Kluyveromyces lactis: one gene and its partners. The protein of the gene in region 1 interacts with the protein of each later gene in a biochemical or structural test. Links are inferred from orthologs where the notes say so. Each region holds a gene or a part of one and is shown in the gene's direction. Other genes may lie near its edges.

The links.
Region 2: the proteins of KLLA0_D16456g (region 1) and CRM1 form a complex in vitro, tested with the Saccharomyces cerevisiae proteins (2 studies listed by BioGRID, with this or other methods). The link is inferred for Kluyveromyces lactis from reciprocal best matches to the Saccharomyces cerevisiae genes ACE2 and CRM1.
Region 3: of the proteins of KLLA0_D16456g (region 1) and CBK1, one has a biochemical effect on the other in vitro, tested with the Saccharomyces cerevisiae proteins (3 studies listed by BioGRID). The link is inferred for Kluyveromyces lactis from reciprocal best matches to the Saccharomyces cerevisiae genes ACE2 and CBK1.

Annotation. Positions count from the first base shown.
Region 1 is NC_006040.1:1,387,591-1,391,872, reverse strand, and holds KLLA0_D16456g (uncharacterized protein), read left to right. Parts: upstream 1-1,462; coding exon 1,463-4,027; downstream 4,028-4,282. Other genes in the region: USB1 (phosphoric diester hydrolase), read left to right, coding at 1-700. UniProt on the Saccharomyces cerevisiae protein: Plays a role in regulating basal-level expression of CUP1. Activates EGT2 transcription in the absence of SWI5.
Region 2 is NC_006041.1:1,429,046-1,433,284, reverse strand, and holds the start of CRM1 (exportin CRM1), read left to right. Parts: upstream 1-1,293; coding exon 1,294-4,239. Other genes in the region: calcium channel protein CCH1, read left to right, coding at 1-718. UniProt on the Saccharomyces cerevisiae protein: Receptor for the leucine-rich nuclear export signal (NES).
Region 3 is NC_006040.1:668,488-672,729, reverse strand, and holds CBK1 (serine/threonine protein kinase CBK1), read left to right. Parts: upstream 1-1,478; coding exon 1,479-3,635; downstream 3,636-4,242. Other genes in the region: RPL42A (60S ribosomal protein eL42), read left to right, coding at 48-51, 642-958; KLLA0_D07788g (uncharacterized protein), read right to left, coding at 4,224-4,242. UniProt on the Saccharomyces cerevisiae protein: Protein kinase that seems to play a role in the regulation of cell morphogenesis and proliferation.

The DNA of each region.
Region 1 (4,282 bases):
TCTGAACCCATTGAACGATAGAATGTACAAAGCTCCGATGGGTAGAAATACTTGCTATATGTTTCTTCAGCTGCGGCTTGATTCCAAACAGAACCGGGTGCTTGATATGATTTTGAACGACGTAAACTCAGTAATGAACATGCATCATATGACTAACTTTGAACCCTTACATCGTGGAAAGCTAGGTACCATTAAGCCCTTACATGTGTCTTTGACGTCTTCGTTGTATTTCACCGATGGAGCGGAGACAGCAACGAGTGTTGCTCAAATCAAGAAAGAAATCACCACTTTGAAATATAAATCGATTCCAATTTCTCTGGCAGGTAACTGGCGTCTCTACGATAATTTTGACTCAAGTCTCACGTTCTTGACGTTGAATTTATCCAAATCATCAGTGCGACAGTTACAACCTATTCTTGATGCGATAAAAAGAAACGTCCCGCCAACTTATCATTCAAAGGTGATAGACCCTGAGACAGCACACATTTCGTTCGGAGTTATTCCAAACAATAAACAATTTAAAAATGCGGAAGAATTTGAAAAGTCGAGCAAATATCTACGACATATTTTAGCTACGGAAGCGTTGGCACAGTTACCTCTATTGAGAGCAGACTTGCAATTTAGATGTCAGGAAATCAAGGCGGAGATTGGAGTAGACGTGATTTCGATGCCCTTCTCGAAATCCGCTGATAGGTTGTAAATATCAATTTATACTACTTTCAAGCGGTAGTCTTGTATCAGGCACATGCCTGACTTAGAAAATCATTCAGAATTGGTAAACTTGCTTGTCACTATCAGTCACATGACTTGATTAGATATGCGAATTTTCCTAATTAGTACGATTAGTTAAGCCATGTTAAAAATCGCATCAACCTTTTTTTTTCTTTGTTTTGATATGAACAGCTATGTTGATATTTGAACCCAATCGGGTAATAGCGCTTCAAAAACCTCGTTCGAACAAAGCATAATGCCCTTGAAGCTATGTTTGCATTGTCTATTTCTACATCTAAACATATAATTGTGTTTTCTTTAACTATGTACCTCTTTTATAAACTTTGCAGCAACTGTTGTTTGGTTCATATAACAAGAAACTCTTCCAGTTGAAGCTTTCATTACGTTTTCCCCATCTTCCCCATACATCTGTAACATCGATTGTTATTGGTTGCATCAGGTATTGGAAACACTCCGTTGATATTAGCAGTTTAATCATTTGCATAAGATATATTACAACTTAACAAGGAGAACAACTTTAGGTTAGGTGCAATCGATTTTTGAAGTGAGCCTCTAGAAGTAAGAAAGACTGGAAGCAACAAGGAACCGAAAAGATAATTCAATACTAAGATACATAGGTAAGAGCGCAAACACCAAGTTGACTTGAAGTTAAAAGAGCGGGATTAAAATAAGAAGTTTTTGATAGTACCAACAAAAATACATTCGAACCGTGTTTATTCAATCTGGACCAATGAGTAGCACAGAGCAATGGTCCAACTTGATTAAGAATCCATACGATGTCGTAGATGGAAACAATGGTGAAATATCAGAAAACATGATGGATTTGCTGAATTCAAGAAACAATTCCAATAATCTGGGTTCTGTCTATGGGGGACAGGATTATCCTCTTCCAGATGAGGCTTTTGAGAACTTCAACCCTGTTATGGATATAAATATTGAAGAATTTCTCACAAAAGAATTAAGAGATCTTGACATACCAGTACTTCCTAAGGATGAACTTTCAAAACTTGATCTAGAGATGTTCCCGGGAAACGGATTAGATTGGAATGTAGTAAACGATAATGATGCTTCTGTCGGTGTTGGAAATGTAAATACAGAAATACCATCAATCACTCCAAGAAAACTTATGCCAGGTGGTGGGGCCGCAGGAAATCACAAGAAAAAGCCAAGTGGTACTGCCATCTTTGGATTTGCCCAGCATAATAAATCATTAAGCATAGGGTCCATGACAATCAATCTAGATGAGAAGAAGCAGGCCTTCCTGCAACAGGAACAGCAAAAACTACTGCAAGCACAGCAGGCTTCCCAGCCTGCAGAAATAAAGATGAGCGAGACGATTATGCAACAGCAAAAAGAGTTACAGTTGGCTCTACAAAGACAAAAGGAGATGAATGAAAAGCTTGAAGATCAACTAAGAATGAATAAGCTACAACAAGAACAACTACAGAGAGCCCTGGAGGCTCAACAAATGACTTTAAATCAAGTTTCTTCTATCCCTACTACCACACCGGTAAGGCCGGAGACAAGTATAATTATTACTTCTAACGGTAAGAACGGTAAGTATCAATTTCCACCACCATCTTCCGACGATTCATCCCAACAAAGACAAATGGGAGAAAGGACAAAATTGGACGAATCGCCTAATAAAGATGTCAATAAAGTGTATGCAGTGGGAGCGGGGAATGGACTGTTATCGCCCTTTTCAAGGGCATCGGTCAACGGATCTCCACATAGACGTCGTCAACATAATTATGATGGGGTTGAGAACGGTAATAACCGTCTTGCTCCTCCTATGAACTTTTCTATATCAAGCACGAGTACTGTCGGAAACAACACGGAACAATTATTGAAGATGTCCAAGTATTTTCAAGAGTTGACGGACAATCAAAGTCGTGGTCCATCCAATTGTGCGGTGTATAACAAGAAAAGTTCAAATCGTCCACCAATCACGCCACAAGATCAAATATATGATAATCCAAAGACCCCATCAATGAATTGTAATTATAAACATACTACCCGAAGTGATGATGGATTAGAAACAGCAAGTAGTATTGACAGTAACATTAACAACAAAAACAGCCATCAGAACAAGCATTTCGCAAGAGATAGTACGATATCGACGGCATCTACGATCCCAATGCAAAGTGAGGATGACCATGAATCAGAACAAACCCAACAGCAACCCAGTCTGGGACTTGGAATAACGCTGAACAGCAGGGTCCAATTGAAGAAACCACCGCAATTGCAGATAATGCCAATGATTCCTGGATCTAGCGAAACGACTCCGTTGAAACAGAAGCAATCACCTGATAGGCAATTTTCAAATAAGCTGAACAGCGAGAACATGCCAGTAAAACACTCTTTCCAACATACTCCAACAAAGAAACTAATATTTGACAAAACTGTCACGACTTCTCTACGGCCTGACGATAGGAAAGGTCAAAATGCTAGAAACATTATTCTTGCATCACGTGATGGCGAAGAGGATATGAAATCTGGCCGTCTAACGAACATGAATAACGGAAACAACGACGAACCGGAGTGCGAGTTCGTACAAGCTCAAACCCCATCTCCAATTCTGCGATCTCAAGAGCGATTCGATTGTATTGCTGAATCACCGGTGCATTTCCCTTACAATCAACATAACCATGTCGATTTGGGACTAGGGCCCAATCATAACGGAATTGGCCTAAACACCAATTTGAACACCAGCCCCATGGTAAGTGGGGGAAGGAACGGTAAACGGTATGGCATGCTGCCTAGAGAACAGATTGACAAGTACATTCTCGAAATTGGACCTAAACAGTTCCAATGCAAGTTTAAAGATTGTCAAAAGAGGTTTAACAGACGGTACAACGCGAGAACTCATATCCAAACCCATCTTTGCGATAGGCCGTACAAGTGTGATTTCCCAGGATGTCAAAAGGCTTTTGTCAGAAACCATGATTTGCTACGACACAAGAAATCGCATTTAGAGAAAGGTTACTCGTGTGCAGGTTGTGGTAAGAAGTTCCATTCAGAAGATTCTCTTGTGAAACATCAAGAACGTAAAAGTCATGAGGGCAGACTGGATGAAGAAGATTTGTGCAACCAAGAACAAAATCATGACCTAGACTACTACGATCACTTGGATTCTTCGCCTATAAGACTTAATGGCGGCAATCAGATCAGGAAACCAGTTTCCCCGAAGAAAGTGCCGAATGTCATAAGAGAAAACATCCAAAGGGGACACACTACTGCTGCGCTTCGCGTACAAGAACAATTGACGTACAATCAAACTACAACTGGTGTGTAAAATTCGTCAGAATGAATTTTATCTTTAGCAGATACTAACTGGCTTGTCTTAATTTTATCCAACATTGCACACTTTCAAAATCACTAAGTACTCTTGAAATATGTTCTTTTATAACGTTTTTAATACTATTTTATTCAATGGAAACAGAAAAACCGTTAGTGATTTATCAACTATCTACCCCGCTCTCACTGAGAAACAGAGGGAAGAAGAAGAAGTTCCGATCTGACATCTCAGGTCCGATTTCTCCCCCACCCT
Region 2 (4,239 bases), on another chromosome or scaffold:
AGGGCAATTTGATGTCGCGTACTTACCAAAATTCATGCACTCGTTTGATGGACCCCTCTCGTTTAAAATTTGGGAGGGAAGACTTACTGTTAAGAGTTTGGTGTCTAAATACATGAAAGTAAACCCAAACGATCCATATGATGTTGAAATTGATCACTTCGGACTCAGCAAAGAACTTTCCTCTATAGACTATCAAAAAGTGAACGCCAGACGACTAGATTATAACAGATTTGTCCATGAAATTCAGCTGGGAAATAAGAGATACAACGCCGTGCAGTTCAATCAGCTGATGGAAACAGTTCCATTGTACACTACATATAACAAGACTGAATGTCTTGGGATCGATGATTATGTGAAAAATTTATACGACATGAACAAAGTTGATAAACTGATCCGGAACGAGAGAAACTACGATACCATGCTAATGGTTGTCGCAAGATGGAAATTTTTACTGAACCGTAGAGGCAAGATACAACTACCTAAAATAATGGTGCCAATATCCTCTTATCCAAACGGATCCACTGAAGATTTCGAGCTTGAGTTTAAGTCACCTGTTTTAAATACCCAGGAATCAGAGTTTATGTGGTCGCCAGGCCGTCGCAACAATCACTGGTTTGAAGAAGATGAAAGTAGCTCAAAAGAAAATACATCTCGAACTCTGATCAAAGACACATCTACCAAACCAGGAACAACCGACTCATCCTCATCATCATCTTAGATCAATGAGTACCTAATCTTAATTTATGTTCCATCATTTGTTACATATATAGACTTGTATACCCACAGAAGAGTACCTTTTTTGATTAACTAAAGGAAAAGATTTCAGATCACGTGTATGTTTGGGCGCCACGCCTAAAGCCATCACAAGGCACGAATTTAGTTACCCTACCATTATTGATTTTTCGAAAGAAGCAGTTTTACTAAAGCCAAAACCTTCAATTGATAGGGTTTGGGGTCTAAAGTAAACAGAATGTTAACATGTATTTGTTAGATAAATTTTAGATCTGGCAGCGTGCTATCGAGTCACTTTTGTTCGTACTAGATTCAACCGTTACTGTTCAGTGCTAAATAAGAAAACTATAGTCCGGTGTATTTTTTTTTCTTTCTTTATTATTTATTTCGGAAATTGCAGCTGTGAATTCGAATCTTGGTGGAATTTATACAGCAGACTAAAGGAACAAGACATTGCATTTAATTAATCAGGGTCTTTTCATAAGAAGGATACTACTGCACTGTACTCATAGGAAAATAGTAAAAAGAGATCCACACACACGTTCTTCTTTCTAAATCAATATGGAGGCTGTTTTAGACTTTTCTCGGGACTTAGACATCCAGCTCCTAGATCAAGTGGTGGATACCTTTTTCAAGGGCTCTGGTGCGTCTCAAAAGGAGGCACAAGAGGTTCTTACTAAATTGAAGGACCATCCAGATGCTTGGCAAAGGGCTGATAAAATCTTGCAGTATTCAAATAATCCGCAAACGAAGTTCATTGGGCTTTCCATTTTGGATAAGTTAATTACGACGAAATGGAAGATGTTACCTCAGGAGCATAGACTTGGAATTCGTAATTTCATCGTTGGAATGATTATTTCAATGTGTCAAGATGATCAGGTTTTCCAAACTCAGAAGAATTTGATTCATAAGTCTGATTTAACCTTGGTTCAAATTCTTAAGCAGGACTGGCCAGAAAACTGGCCAGACTTCATCCCGGAGTTGGTTCTCAGTTCCCAAGCTAGTGTAAACGTATGTGAAAACAACATGGTAATGCTAAAGTTATTAAGTGAGGAAGTCTTTGATTTCTCTGCAGAGCAAATGACGCAAGCTAAAGCACTACATTTAAAACAATCTATGGATCAACAATTTGAACAGATTTTCAATCTATGTTACGAAATTTTGGAAACCGCATCTTCTCCATCCCTTATGGTGGCCACTTTGCAATCTCTTTTGAGATACTTGCATTGGATCCCATACCGTTACATCTACAACACTGATATTTTGCAATTGTTGAGTACGAAATTTTTAGTCTCTGCTGACACCAGAGCTATTACTTTGAAATGTTTGACTGAAGTTTCTCAACTTGATATTCCAGCAAATGACCCAAAGATTGCTTCGTTAACTGTAATGTTTTTCCAAAATGCTTTGCAACAAATTGCTGTTAACGTTATACCGGTGAATGCTGACTTGAAGAACACATATGCTACTGCTAATGGCAACGATCAATCATTTTTGCAAGATTTTGCCATGTTCTTGACTACCTATTTGGCCAGACACCGTTCAATATTAGAAGATGATGAATCCTTGAGGGAACTATTAATTACTGCGCATCAATATTTGATTGAACTTTCGAAGATTGACGAAAGAGAATTGTTCAAAACGACTTTGGACTACTGGAATAATTTGGTTTCGGCCTTGTACCAAGAGGTGCAACAAATCCCTCAAAATCAGAATAACGTCCTATTGAAACTATCTCAAGGATCGAATATGTTCTCAGGGAGCAATGGTGCTCCTCACCCGGAATTCTTGAAAAGGTTCCCGTTAAAGAAACACATTTACGATAACATCTGTTCTCAGTTAAGATGGGTTATAATAGAATCGATGGTTAGACCAGAGGAAGTTCTTATTGTGGAAAACGATGAAGGTGAAATCGTCAGAGAGTTTGTTAAGGAGTCGGACACAATTCAGTTATATAAGTCCGAAAGGGAAGTACTTGTTTACTTGACGCATTTAGATGTTCTTGATACTGAAGACATCATGTTGAATAAATTGGCAAAGCAACTTGATGGCTCTGAATGGTCATGGCACAACATCAACACATTGTGTTGGGCTATTGGTTCTATTTCTGGTACTATGGACGAGGAAACTGAGAAAAAATTTGTCGTTACAATCATTAAAGATCTTTTAGCCTTGACTGATAAAAAGCGCGGTAAGGACAACAAGGCTGTTGTTGCATCGAACATTATGTACGTTGTCGGTCAGTACCCACGTTTCTTAAAAGCTCATTGGAAGTTCTTGAAGACAGTCATTCTAAAACTATTTGAATTTATGCATGAAACCCATGAGGGTGTTCAAGATATGGCCTGTGACACCTTCATCAAGATTGTACAGAGATGTAAACGTCACTTTGTCGTTCAACAGCCAAACGAAAGTGAACCTTTCATCCAGGCAATAATTAGAAACATTCAAGACCACACCTCCGATCTTCAACCTCAGCAAGTACACACATTTTACAAGGCTTGCGGTTTAATTATTTCTGATGAAAGAAACCCAGGAGAAAAACAAAGATTACTAGCAGATTTGATGCAACTCCCTAACATGGCATGGGACGCTATAATTCAGCAATCATCTACTCATCTGGATATTTTGTCGGACCCTGAAACTGTGAAAATCGTTACCAATATTCTAAAGACAAACGTTGCCGTTTGTTCCGCTATGGGTAATGACTTTGCTCCGCAGTTGAGTCGTAACTTCACACCAATGATGTCATTGTGCTCAGCTGTGTCTAGATGTATTTCAACACAAGTAGCCAGCGATGGGATTATTGCTACTAAGACTCCAAAGGTAAGAGGTTTAAGAACAATCAAGAAAGAAATTCTAAAATTAATGGAATTATACATTTCCAGTGCAAAGGATTTAGACTACATCGTAAATGACTTGGCATCAGCACTGTTTGACTCTGTGTTACGGGATTACTACATTACCGTACCAGATGCCCGTGACGCTGAGATTTTAAGTTGTATGACCACACTTGTCAACAAAGTTGGGCCTATGATGATCAGCGGTGTCATTTTGATTTTACAGAGTGTCTTTGAAGCTACATTAGACATGATCAATAAAGATTTCACGGAATATCCGGAACATCGTGTGGAGTTTTATAAATTATTGAGGGCCATCAACTCCAAGTGTTTCGTAGCGATATCTCAACTACCACCACCGGCTTTCAAACTTTTCGTTGATGCCATATGTTGGGCGTTCAAACACAACAACAGAGATGTTGAGGTAAATGGGTTACAAATTGCTTTAGACCTTATTCAAAACGTTGATTCCGCTAGTCCGTCTGAATTCTCTAACGATTTCTACAAGAACTATTACTTCACATTCCTTAGCGAAACCTTCTATGTCCTCACTGATTCAGATCACAAATCTGGATTCAGCAAGCAAGCTCATCTTTTAATGAATTTGATTGCCAGAGTAGAAGAAAATAGAATAGCTGTACCATTATACAAGGAAGATGAAGCTCCT
Region 3 (4,242 bases), about 720 kb from region 1:
TCAGTACATTCAGAAAGCGTAACTCAACAGAGATCAAATCAGTCACAATGGGTATGTGAACAAGATTTAAAATATACCGTGGAGATTGTCAGTGGTTTATTCGATTTTTGGTATCCTGAGGGAAGAATGGAACGTTTGAAGTTTAGTACCAAGTGAACATGAAATGAGCTATGGTTATTTAACAGAATACAGCATTTCAGAGTGAATCAATGAGAAAACACCAACCGTATTGGAAATTCAGATATTGCATCGACAAGGGGGGAGAGTTCATTTGAGTTGGTGAACTATATCAAAAGATCAGTATTTTGGTCGAAGTATGGACGATTCACTAGCATAAAACCCTGTTCACGCTGGAGGAAGTAATTTGGGTTATTTGTTGTCCCTATGTTTCTTAATTCGGTGTAGTCGAGACAACCTCAGAGAATTGTATATCAGTGAAGTCAACGCTACACTGACTGAACATAATTAACAGGAACTCAGTCGTATTAAACAACTGGGGTTCAGATAGCCTGGACCTCCCTATACAATAAGAAGAAGAGAATAGAATTCCTGCAATCAAAATAAGCTGGATGAAGCTAAAGAATATTTTTTTACTAACATCGACATGTATCACTATCTTATGATATGTTAATTTCTAACAGTTAACGTTCCAAAGACCAGAAAGACTTACTGTAAGGGTAAGGAGTGCCGTAAGCACGCCCAACACAAGGTTACCCAATACAAGGCTGGTAAGGCTTCCTTGTACGCTCAAGGTAAGAGAAGATATGACCGTAAACAATCTGGTTTCGGTGGTCAAACCAAGCAAATTTTCCACAAGAAAGCTAAGACTACCAAGAAGGTCGTTTTGAGATTGGAATGTATGTCCTGTAAGACCAAGACCCAATTGGCTTTGAAGAGATGTAAGCACTTCGAATTGGGTGGTGAAAAGAAGCAAAAGGGTCAAGCTTTGCAATTCTGAGATTATCTTTTGGAAGACCAATTTGTTACCATTTGTCAATTTTTTAACTTTTCTATAAGTATTACGAATTCACATATACTCTTTCATCACATTTATAATCTCATATCTGTCATTTGTATAGTTTAGTCTCCACTGGGTACTTCTTCACTTTGCGATTTGTATTATACGTATTCTAAGTATAATTTTCAGCAGAACGCATAAGAGTTTATTAACAAGAATTGTTTACAAAGAATAGCGTAGGACTCAGGCTACATTATTGATCCTGCAGGCAGTAAAGCTTACATATGACCTTAGCTAATATAACATGTACATACTCACCATGTATACCACTTTTTTCATTCCATTGTCTAAAATATGTTTTCAATATTTGCCATAATCGCCAATTTCATTGGAAAAACAAAAACATCGAATCAAACTTGTTTTAGAAAACAACGAACATGAAACTATACTGTTAACGTTTAGAGACATATTTCACGTCAACAAGGCCGTTTGGACGTCGCTACTTCAGCAACAACACGTAATGTACGGTGGATATTCGAATCAGAACTACTATCAACAGCCTTCTGGTCGTCCAAACGATTTTCAGCAACAGGGAAACATGCCCTTTTCGGAACCTTCTCAGCCCATGTTCAGCACCAATTATATGAAACAACAAGGATCACAGCCGTCTTTACAAGACCGTCTGACCCAACAGCAATCGCAACCTCAGTCGCATAATAATCAATATTATCCGAATGGAGGGTTTACTGATGTGCCCAACTTGAATTATCCAGCGACTCCACCACCAACTCAAAGCATTTATTCACATAACAACAACTCTAATTCGAAGGTATATCAATCCGCTCAGCATACATCTCCCGGTCAATATTCTGTTGCCAGTGAGTCCGGTTTGTACATCCCGCCACCACTGCAGCAACAGCAGAATGGTCAACAGAGTCCTGTGAGATCGGTACATCAACAGACACAGCAAACACCGCCAACATTTACTCAGCAACAAAGCTCTTCCCAACCTCAGTCACCTCAACACAATACGTATCATGCACAGCAGCAGCAGCAGCAGCAGCAGCAGCAACAACAAACTCAACAGGCCCAGCAGCAAGGACAACGACAAACTCAGCAACAGTCTCAGCAGCAAGCTCAACAACAGAATGGATCGGCGAATAATTACATGTATTTTGAGAGAAGACCTGACCTATTGACCAAAACTACCCAAGACAAAGCAGCTGCTGTTAAGCTCAAGATAGAGAACTTTTATCAGAGTAGTGTTGGTTATGCTATTGAAAGAAATCAAAGAAGATTGGAACTGGAATCCGAATTGGCATCCCAGGACTGGTCCGAGGAACGTAAGAATAGACAGCTTGCTTCTTTAGGTAAAAAGGAGTCACAATTTTTGAGACTACGTAGAACGAGATTATCGTTGGACGACTTCAATTCAGTGAAAGTCATCGGTAAAGGTGCCTTTGGTGAAGTTAGATTGGTACAAAAGAAAGACACAGGCAAGATATATGCTATGAAAACATTGCTGAAATCGGAAATGTACAACAAAGATCAGTTAGCTCACGTAAAGGCTGAAAGGGATGTTCTAGCGGGAAGTGATTCTCCGTGGGTTGTTTCATTGTATTATTCCTTTCAAGATTCACAATATTTGTATTTAATTATGGAGTTTTTGCCGGGTGGTGACTTGATGACCATGTTAATCAGATGGCAAATTTTCACAGAAGATGTGACAAGATTCTACATGGCAGAATGTATACTTGCTATCGAGGTCATTCATAAATTGGGCTTTATTCACAGAGATATTAAACCAGATAATATCTTGATAGATATTAGAGGCCACATTAAACTATCAGATTTTGGTTTGAGTACGGGGTTCCATAAGACTCACGATTCAAGTTACTACAAAAAGTTATTACAAGAGGACGAGGCAAAGAAACAACAGCAACAACAACAGCAACAACAGCAATTAAATCTACAAAAACCTCAGCTCCCAAACGAAACAAACAATGGTAATAGAAATACAATGTTGGTTGACGCCATTCATTTAACCATGACAAATAGACAACAAATGCAAACTTGGAGAAAGTCGCGTAGACTAATGGCATACTCTACTGTTGGTACTCCGGATTATATTGCACCTGAAATTTTCCTGTACCAAGGTTATGGTCAGGAATGTGATTGGTGGTCATTAGGAGCTATTATGTACGAGTGTCTAATTGGTTGGCCTCCATTTTGCTCTGAAACACCACAAGAAACGTATCGTAAGATCATGAATTTCGAACAAACTTTGCAATTCCCCGATGATATTCATATTTCTTATGAAGCTGAAGATCTAATCAGAAGATTGTTAACTCACTCTGAAAATCGTCTAGGTAGACATGGTGGTGCCGATGAAATTAAGGCACATCCTTTCTTCAGTGGTGTTGATTGGAACACTATCAGGCAAGTGGAAGCTCCTTATATTCCTAAGTTGTCCAGTGTCACAGATACTAGGTTCTTCCCAACTGATGAATTAGAAAATGTCCCTGATTCACCAGCAATGGCACAAGCTGCAAGACAAAGAGAACAGATGATGACACAGCAACAAGGGGTTCCTCAATCCAATGCAAAGGAAGATTTACCATTCATCGGGTACACGTACTCTAGGTTTGATTATCTAACTAGAAAGAATGCTCTATAGTAACGCTCTCTGTACATAACCGCGACGGAAGTTCCTAAATATAATAAAATAAACGAAAGTAAGAAATACTACCAAGAATTATAAACATTACGGTCATTAAAGTGGAGAAAATGTAGATACAGCTGATTCCCAATAGATCATAATCAAATTGACTCAATATCAGGCGCCCAGCAACGTACTTGGTATTAAATCTACGCTTCAACACAAATTATTAAAACCAGGAAATAGTGAACAACACATAACCCGGTCCCCGCGCAGAACGAAATCTTACACAGGGATAACCGTGGAGCGATAATATTGATGTTGATCTTTTAGGAAACAAATAGTAACTAAGGTTAAACTAAAATAGTTCTAATGTATTTAATCATTGAAAGGCCTATAAGTGGAAACGAAGAAATATGTATCTGATTTTATATACTGGCAAAAAAAATTTCATGTTAGTGTGAATGATCTCCTTACTCCGGGTAACGGAGTTTATCAAAGTGTTTTCCGTCCAATATAGATTCAAACCCTAATGAGGGCAAGATTGAAGGAAAAGCGTCAAGGATTGGTACATTCGATTTGCAACTGGAGCTTGCATCCAATTGATCAATCCCTCTTAAGTGAA